Danio rerio: one gene and its partner. The protein of the gene in region 1 purifies or fractionates together with the protein of each later gene. This does not show direct contact. Links are inferred from orthologs where the notes say so. Each region holds a gene or a part of one and is shown in the gene's direction. Other genes may lie near its edges.

What was found. Proteins that work in one complex are often made in the same cells at the same time.
Region 2: the proteins of rprd1b (region 1) and polr2g purify together in Homo sapiens (affinity purification with mass spectrometry; 3 studies listed by BioGRID and IntAct, counting the BioPlex papers as one, with this or other methods). This does not show direct contact. The link is inferred for Danio rerio from reciprocal best matches to the Homo sapiens genes RPRD1B and POLR2G.

What each region holds. Positions count from the first base shown.
Region 1 is NC_133198.1:46,861,870-46,865,369, reverse strand, and holds part of rprd1b (regulation of nuclear pre-mRNA domain-containing protein 1B), read left to right. Parts: intron 1-95; 5' UTR 96-123; coding exon 124-274; intron 275-3,059; coding exon 3,060-3,189; intron 3,190-3,500. UniProt on the Homo sapiens protein: Interacts with phosphorylated C-terminal heptapeptide repeat domain (CTD) of the largest RNA polymerase II subunit POLR2A, and participates in dephosphorylation of the CTD by RPAP2. Transcriptional regulator which enhances expression of CCND1.
Region 2 is NC_133189.1:30,990,819-30,994,824, forward strand, and holds the start of polr2g (DNA-directed RNA polymerase II subunit RPB7), read left to right. Parts: upstream 1-1,206; 5' UTR 1,207-1,318; coding exon 1,319-1,330; intron 1,331-1,440; coding exon 1,441-1,550; intron 1,551-1,629; coding exon 1,630-1,789; intron 1,790-3,126; coding exon 3,127-3,177; intron 3,178-3,277; coding exon 3,278-3,343; intron 3,344-3,424; coding exon 3,425-3,496; intron 3,497-3,605; coding exon 3,606-3,639; intron 3,640-3,774; coding exon 3,775-3,788; 3' UTR 3,789-4,006. UniProt on the Homo sapiens protein: Core component of RNA polymerase II (Pol II), a DNA-dependent RNA polymerase which synthesizes mRNA precursors and many functional non-coding RNAs using the four ribonucleoside triphosphates as substrates.

The sequences.
Region 1 (3,500 bases):
CTTTTCCATAGTTTGATATCAACTTTTGACCTTGTGTTTCCCCTTATGTTAAATGCATCTTATGTTAATGATCAGGTCTGTTGTGCTGTTTTCAGGGTTGTTTGGTGAGCGCGAGCGGTCAGCATGTCGTCTTTCTCCGAGTCTGCGCTGGAGAAGAAACTGTCTGAACTGAGTAACTCCCAGCAGAGCGTCCAGACTCTGTCTCTGTGGATCATTCACCATCGCAAACATGCAGCGCTCATCGTGCGCGTCTGGCACAGAGAGCTGAAGAAGGGTGAGAGAGACACTCATTCACTGAAGCTTAACCCGGGTCAAAAATGGCCCATATACTTACTTTTCTAAAATGACCTTAAACATTTATTGTACATTGTCTTTTTTCATGAAGGCTGTGCACATTTAGAGTACAACAGTTGTCCTTTGGGTCTATTTTGACCCGCCAGCTATAAAAAAACTTTTACTCCACAGAAACTACTAGCACACACTACAACACACACACACAGAGTAGCTATGTTTCCATCCACATATTTCTATGCAAAGTTTGGATATGTGCATAAAAACACTGGTTAATGCAAACACCAAGAGGCACATACATTTTGAAAATGCGAATAAAAAACCTTTGCGCATAACTAAGTCGAATTAACTTTTATTTGATACGAAAAGATGCGCAATAAACTAAGATGGAAACGATTTTATGTGCATAAAAAAGTCATGTGATTTTGATATATGAGATCATGTGATGATAAAAACGTGTGTGAATGGACAAACCATCAGGCGGAGCACATTGTAAAACATCTGAAATGTTGTTTTGGTCATTCTAAAATGCCCTAACCATCTCAGTATTAGCGTTATTATATTATTAACCCTTGTATGGTGTTCGGGTCTGTGAGACCCTTTTCGTTTTTTTTTTTATTTTTTTTTTTTTATTAAACAATGAATTATTTTTTCAACCTGAAGTTCTTTGGCTTTGGCCTATTTTCTGTGAAGATCATAATTCCGAACAAATTTTCAATGACCGCATAATGTACCTCCACCCAGACATTTACATTACATACAAGGTGTTCGGGTTCACTAGACCCAGGTATAATAAGGGTGCTTTCACACCTACACTTTTGTTTCGGAACCTGTCTTGTTTGCCCAGTTAGTGCGGTTCGTTTAGCATATGTGAATCCACCAATCGCTCTCGAGTCCGCGCCAAATCAATCGCTCCGAGATCGCTTAAGTGAGGTGGTCTCGGCTCGATTGAAACGAACTCTGGAGCGGTTCGATTGCAGTGAGAAAGCGATCCGATCCGAGCGCGGTTATATCACAGTGTTTTATGGATATGTAATAGGCTTACGGCTATATGAAGAGAGAATTATGAGTATGGCGGGAACTTTTGCGAGTCTCCGGATGCCCGCAAACGAGTGATGATCTCCTGGCAATCTCGCATCTCCCTCCCGGTCCTCAAATAGGCTACGTCGCGCACCCTTCTCACCCCTCCCCACCTCATCTCTCCTTACTCTTCAGACACGTCGCGCGCACCCTGTCAAACACCACCAAACCACCACCTCTCCTGACAGCTGAGCGGGACGCTGCAAAATAAACCCTGACACTCTGACCAATGTGAGGAGAGTTTACTCGCACGTGACTTGTTTTAGCTCTTTTGGTCCGATTAGTAACTTTGCAGTGTGAAAGTGAACCGCTCCAAGAGCAAAGAGCAACAATGTAACAATTGTAATCCTTGTTTAGAACAACTGAATCGATTCACAGGTGTGAAAGCACTCATATCCTGTCCCATCTGCGAATTAGGGGCATAGTACTATAAATAAGACTTTGCCAGTGTGGTTCCTTATCAAAACTGATCAAGATGGCCAAAAGATTATCTGCTGCGAAGGCCTTGCAATTGATTGTGGAAGAGAGAGAGGAGCTTCGGATGATGATGTCCATGACCATTGTGGGAACAATACAAAAAAAAATCTGTTGGTTTTAAAAAAAAAAAAAAAACGAGAAGCACATTAATTCATCAGTATGATCTAACAAAGGTAAATGGCAAAAATTAACCATGTTTGCTGTGCATATGGCTTGTAATTGGGATTAAGTAAGCATTTGTTGAGTAGTTTAACGTCTCCTCCGACGGCCCGCACTCATATAGCATTCACGCCTGAGCACGCTTACGTCATCGATGATGCGCTCTTTAGTTTAACAGAAGAGAAGCACTCTGGGGAGCTCAGTGGTGGTTGCTTTAGTTATTGCATTAAATGGTTCGATATGCAGTGACACACAGTCAAATATTTCGCCTTATTTCGACTTAAAAGTCTTCGTGCGTCACGTATTAAAAGGTTTGCTGGAGGTGCAACTGTCGTGCAGTGAGGGGTTTAATAATCTACAATAGTTTGTGTTCATTAAACAGTAAGAATGATTGATAAATCCATATGAAACAGTCCCGTAAAAGTCATGTCTCGTCTTCAGTTTGGAGCTCAGGCGCACTTTGCACTCGCACTGTAAGCCCAAATGAACTGCGCTCTAGCACACCTCTTCCATCCGGGCCAGGGCTGGCCAACTGAATCATGCCTAAGGCCGATTCAGAACACTCACACTTTTCAAACGATCCGGGAAACGGGCCTGGCATGGTTCAGATACACCCATACTCTCTCACATTCATATACTCGTATACTACAGCCAATTGAGCTTGTTCAATTCCCTTATACCACATGTGCTTGGACTTGTGGGGGAAACCGGAGTACCCCGGGGAAACCCATGCCAACACGGGGAGAACATGCAAACTCCACACAGAAACGCCAACTGACCCAGCCGGGACTCGAATCAGCGACCTTTTTGCTGTGAGGAGACAGTGCTAACCACTATGCCGCCATAATTATCATCAATCAAGCTAAAAGATTGTGTTTGACTCTGTTCAGTCAGTGTTGGTGTTTTTTTGTACAATGAACGTTTATTAAGAAGAAACCGATATGATTGCATGTTATATATTGTATATTTAGTGTGGGTTTAGCTAATGCTGCTTATATGGCATTAAAACACTAATAAATAAAGGTAATAGTGATGATGTGTTTGTTTTTCAGCTAAAAGCAGCAGGAAGTTGACGTTCTTGTATCTGGCCAATGATGTGATTCAGAACAGTAAGAAAAAGGGTCCAGAGTTCGCAAAAGACTTCGAAGGCGTCCTGATTGATGCCTGTTCACACGTGGCCAGGTAAACAAACCCTCATTAATGCTTTTTGTTGTTCGTTTTCAAAAGCATAGATATAGTTGAAGTTATTCGCCCTCCTGTGCATTTTTCTCAAGTATTTCCCAAATGATGTTTAACAAATTCAGGAGTTTTTCACAGTATGTCAGATAATATTTATCCTCTAGAGAAAGTCTTGTTTGTTTTATTTCAGCTTGAAAAAAAGCAGTTTTTAATTGATTTAACGCCATTTTAAGGTCAAACTGATTAACCCCTTTAAACAATATTTATTTTGGCTTGTCTCTAGAACAAATCACTGTTATACAATGACTTGCCTG
Region 2 (4,006 bases), on another chromosome or scaffold:
TGAGTAAAATCGGATTTAGTGGAAACAACGATGATGTTATTGCTGGTTATTGGTTCAAATTAAATTACCATAATCTTAAGACAACATCGAAATTGATATCACTGTGTGTTCAATGTTTTAAAAACACAAATAAAATCGTTCGAATCTCATTTCACTAGTTATAGACCATTTCAGTGTGGTCATGTCTTTGGCCCATGAACATTTCCTGCTTGTTATCAAACTATTTTATAACTGTATCAAGAAGCAATTCAATCATAACTTAATATTAAAACAGCTATCATAACATTATTTATTAATATGTGTCTCTTTTTAGATTCTTAGAAGCTATAGAAATGTAAAACAGGAAATACGTTGGGACCATTGTTTTTGTTCACATCCCTCAAAATGGTCTATAGGCAACCATTCAGTTTGGAAAAGAACATGTTTTCTATTGTAAATAAGTTCTGCATTATTGATATTCATTCATTCATTCATTCATTCATTTGTTGCTTGCTTGATTGAAAAATCTCAAATTATTAAAAAATGCATGTTACAAATATTTATATTCTTTTAAAATGTATTTAATTATGTTTTATTTGCATGGCTATTAAAATTTAAGGACATTAAAAACGTATACAACATTGGGTCATAGCAAAAAATCATGCAAGTTGGGTTATTAACTGTTTATTTTATTTTTATTTTTTTTGTTACGTGACAATCTTAAAAGTTAAAACAGAAGCAAATGTGAACAACAAGATATCTGAATTTACTGTGTGGTTTTTAAAAGCTTTATTGTGTCCACGCCAATAGCCAATATATTTTGAACATTTAGCCTACTATTAGCATTTAAGCAGCACATACTCAAAACTTGCATATTCTCATTTTTAAAGAAAATGTTTTGAAAGAAATATACATTTTGGGCCTGACTTCAAAGGTTTTGATTTTCGAGGTAAAATGTCTGCAAATAAATAAATATCACACATAGCATTAAAAATCATAATGTAATAATCACTCATCTGGTGAAGTAGCTGCTAATAAATATGAATTCATTTATTTTTCATCTGCAGTGTCTTACCTTAATAGGGAATCTTATAGACAAAAACAGTTGAAGTGTCTACATTTGTATAAAAATAAAATTCTGAATCCAGAATCAACGCACACTAAACTAGCAGGGACTTTATTTCTAGGGAATCTTAGGGCTTTTAATTTGCAGTCGTTTTCACCCGGAAACATTCGCGTGCTCGCGCTGTCGAGATTCGGCGCCTGAACGCACTGACATAGAAAGTCGTGGCTGTAGAGTTTTAATTCAAGACTTTTGGAAGCTAAAATACAATAAGAGATGTTTTACCACGTAAGTCAGTGGGTGTTTTAGTTTTACGTGATAAGTGAGTTGCAGCACTTATAAATGTCCGTCAATGTTTTCTGTGCTCACTGTTGTTTACACGTTGTTTGTCACAATAGATCTCTCTGGAGCATGAAATTCTCCTCCATCCAAGATATTTTGGACCCAACCTTTTGAACACAGTCAAACAGAAACTGTTCACTGAGGTTGAAGGAACATGTACTGGAAAGTAAGTTAACGTTACTTCATCAATAAATGAATGAACGTTATGAGATCTGACTCTCTAATGCTCGTGTGTTGTTTCCCAGGTATGGCTTTGTTATTGCAGTAACCACAATCGATAATATTGGAGCAGGGGTTATACAGCCGGGCAGAGGTTTTGTGTTGTATCCCGTCAAATACAAAGCCATCGTCTTCCGTCCCTTCAAAGGAGAAGTTGTGGATGCTGTTGTCACTCAGGTTAACAAAGTACGGTTTGTGTTTTTATTTTCATACAACAGTTACAAAAATATAAATATAAAACATACATTATATAGAACATCAGTACGGGATAATTAATACTTATTAAAACAATAATGCTCAAACAAGGTGTTGTGTACATAATGTTTTATTATTTTCTAATTGTTCAATAAACTGGAGACTATTATTGTGCTTATACTATGGTTACTAGACATAAATGTTCAGGTCAGATGATTTAAATCGAGACATTTTTCAGATTTCTGTCCTCAGACAGCTCACGTGTGTAATACTTATGTAGTGTCATAATTATCTTAGCCAAAGCCTTTAGTTTTGATTTTTAAATGTGAAATAACTGTAACCATTCATCGTAGTGATGTGGAACTAATGCAGTCAAGACCTGCCTGGAACTGCGAAAGCAGTGTGCTTATTTAAAAATAATTGAACACCTTAAGTTTCACCAGCCAATCAAAATCAAGCCCTGTAGTATAATTACCTTTGTTTCAGACCCTTGGCAAATGGTCCTCAGAGCTTTTATATAGGCATAAGGTGTTATCAGATTTTCTAGTTGTGATAATTACTGAAGCTTTTATCACAATCTATGGCATTCTCAAAATATTGACTTAAGCAGTTACAAATTAGTTTTAATAACAAATAAACACTACATTTTGTGTATTGCACTTAAATGTTCACAGTTGACAGATTTTCCTAGCAAAATAAACTGTAAAAGTATTTCAAAGTGCCATGGGTAACACTTTACTAAACAATTTCATTTGTTTTAAATGTCAGTGTTAGTCTTGAACAATATAACTGAATGTTATTAGTTAATTATTATTCGTTAAGAATTTTACTTAACCTAGGAATAAAGAATAGGAAACGAGTTGAACCAATGGTAATGAACAATAGGTCTGTAAATAATCTAAACATTTTCAGTCGATGTCATTGGCCAGATTCATGTAAAAAATGTTTGCTTGCAAATAAATAGTCTATTAAATTGTCATGTTATTGACACCACTACCGATACAATAATCTGCTTAAACTAAAATGTTTTCTAATACTATACAGAAATAATAATTCAATGTAATTTTGAAGTGTCCATGATACCAATTTTAGGATTGTTCATTATCAGGATATATTGCAGGGAACCTGGCACATGTTTAACCGGCACTTCTAAGAGTAAAAAAAAAGCCTGCACTGGCAAAACAAAATGAACACTCGAATTGCGGCTCCTGACAATACATTTGTCTTACAAAGTGAAAGCTCAATCTCTACATGACACTGAACATTAATTTTTCTCTGCTACAGATTTTTCCAGTGTTCAATGCATTTTTTATTTCTTTTTTTCCCAGGTTGGACTCTTTACAGAAATTGGCCCCATGTCTTGTTTCATTTCTCGACATGTAGGTTTTCATGGTAAAATATATTCGTGTATTGGTAAAAGACATGTGTAATTGTCTTAAATCTGTGTGTGTGTGTTTTTTTTTGTGTGTGTGAATCTAGTCTATTCCCTCTGAGATGGAGTTTGATCCAAACTCAAATCCTCCATGCTACAAGACAGTGGATGAGGTAGGATTGAATGCTTTTTGTTTTGAAAGTTGTTCTTTTTCAACAGTTTTAAACACAATTTTTATTTTTTTTTTTTAACAGGACGTTGTGATTCAACAAGATGATGAAATTCGACTGAAGATTGTGGGAACTCGTGTGGACAAGAATGATATTGTAAGTAAATGCCAGTTTTCTCGAATATGTCGATGATATAAATCATTTTTTCAATGTTTATTAACAGTTTTTAATGACTTGTTTTGTCCTTTTATTTATTTTTTATTAGTTTGCCATTGGATCTTTAATGGATGACTACCTGGGTATATGTTTTCTACGATTTAAGCTTGAAACTATACTTATTAAATTGATAACAGAACGTTTTAATTAAGTCTTCTTTAAATAATTTCTGGTGATGATATCAAGCTTTTGTCTGAACATGTCTCTTATTCTTCTAGGTCTTGTGAGCTGATTCCTCTGCCGTGAATATGGGAAATTTGAGAGTTGTTGCTGTGGTGGTGATGATACTTAGTTTGTGTATATACTGTAATTATTTCCCTATTCATTTAGATTAGTTTTTCTTTTTTTCCATTTTCTGTTTTTATTGTCTCCTTTTATTAAAATGTTGGTAGTACAGTTTCAAGTTCAAATTTGAAACCAGATGAAGTCGAATGGGAACAAAGAGTAGCT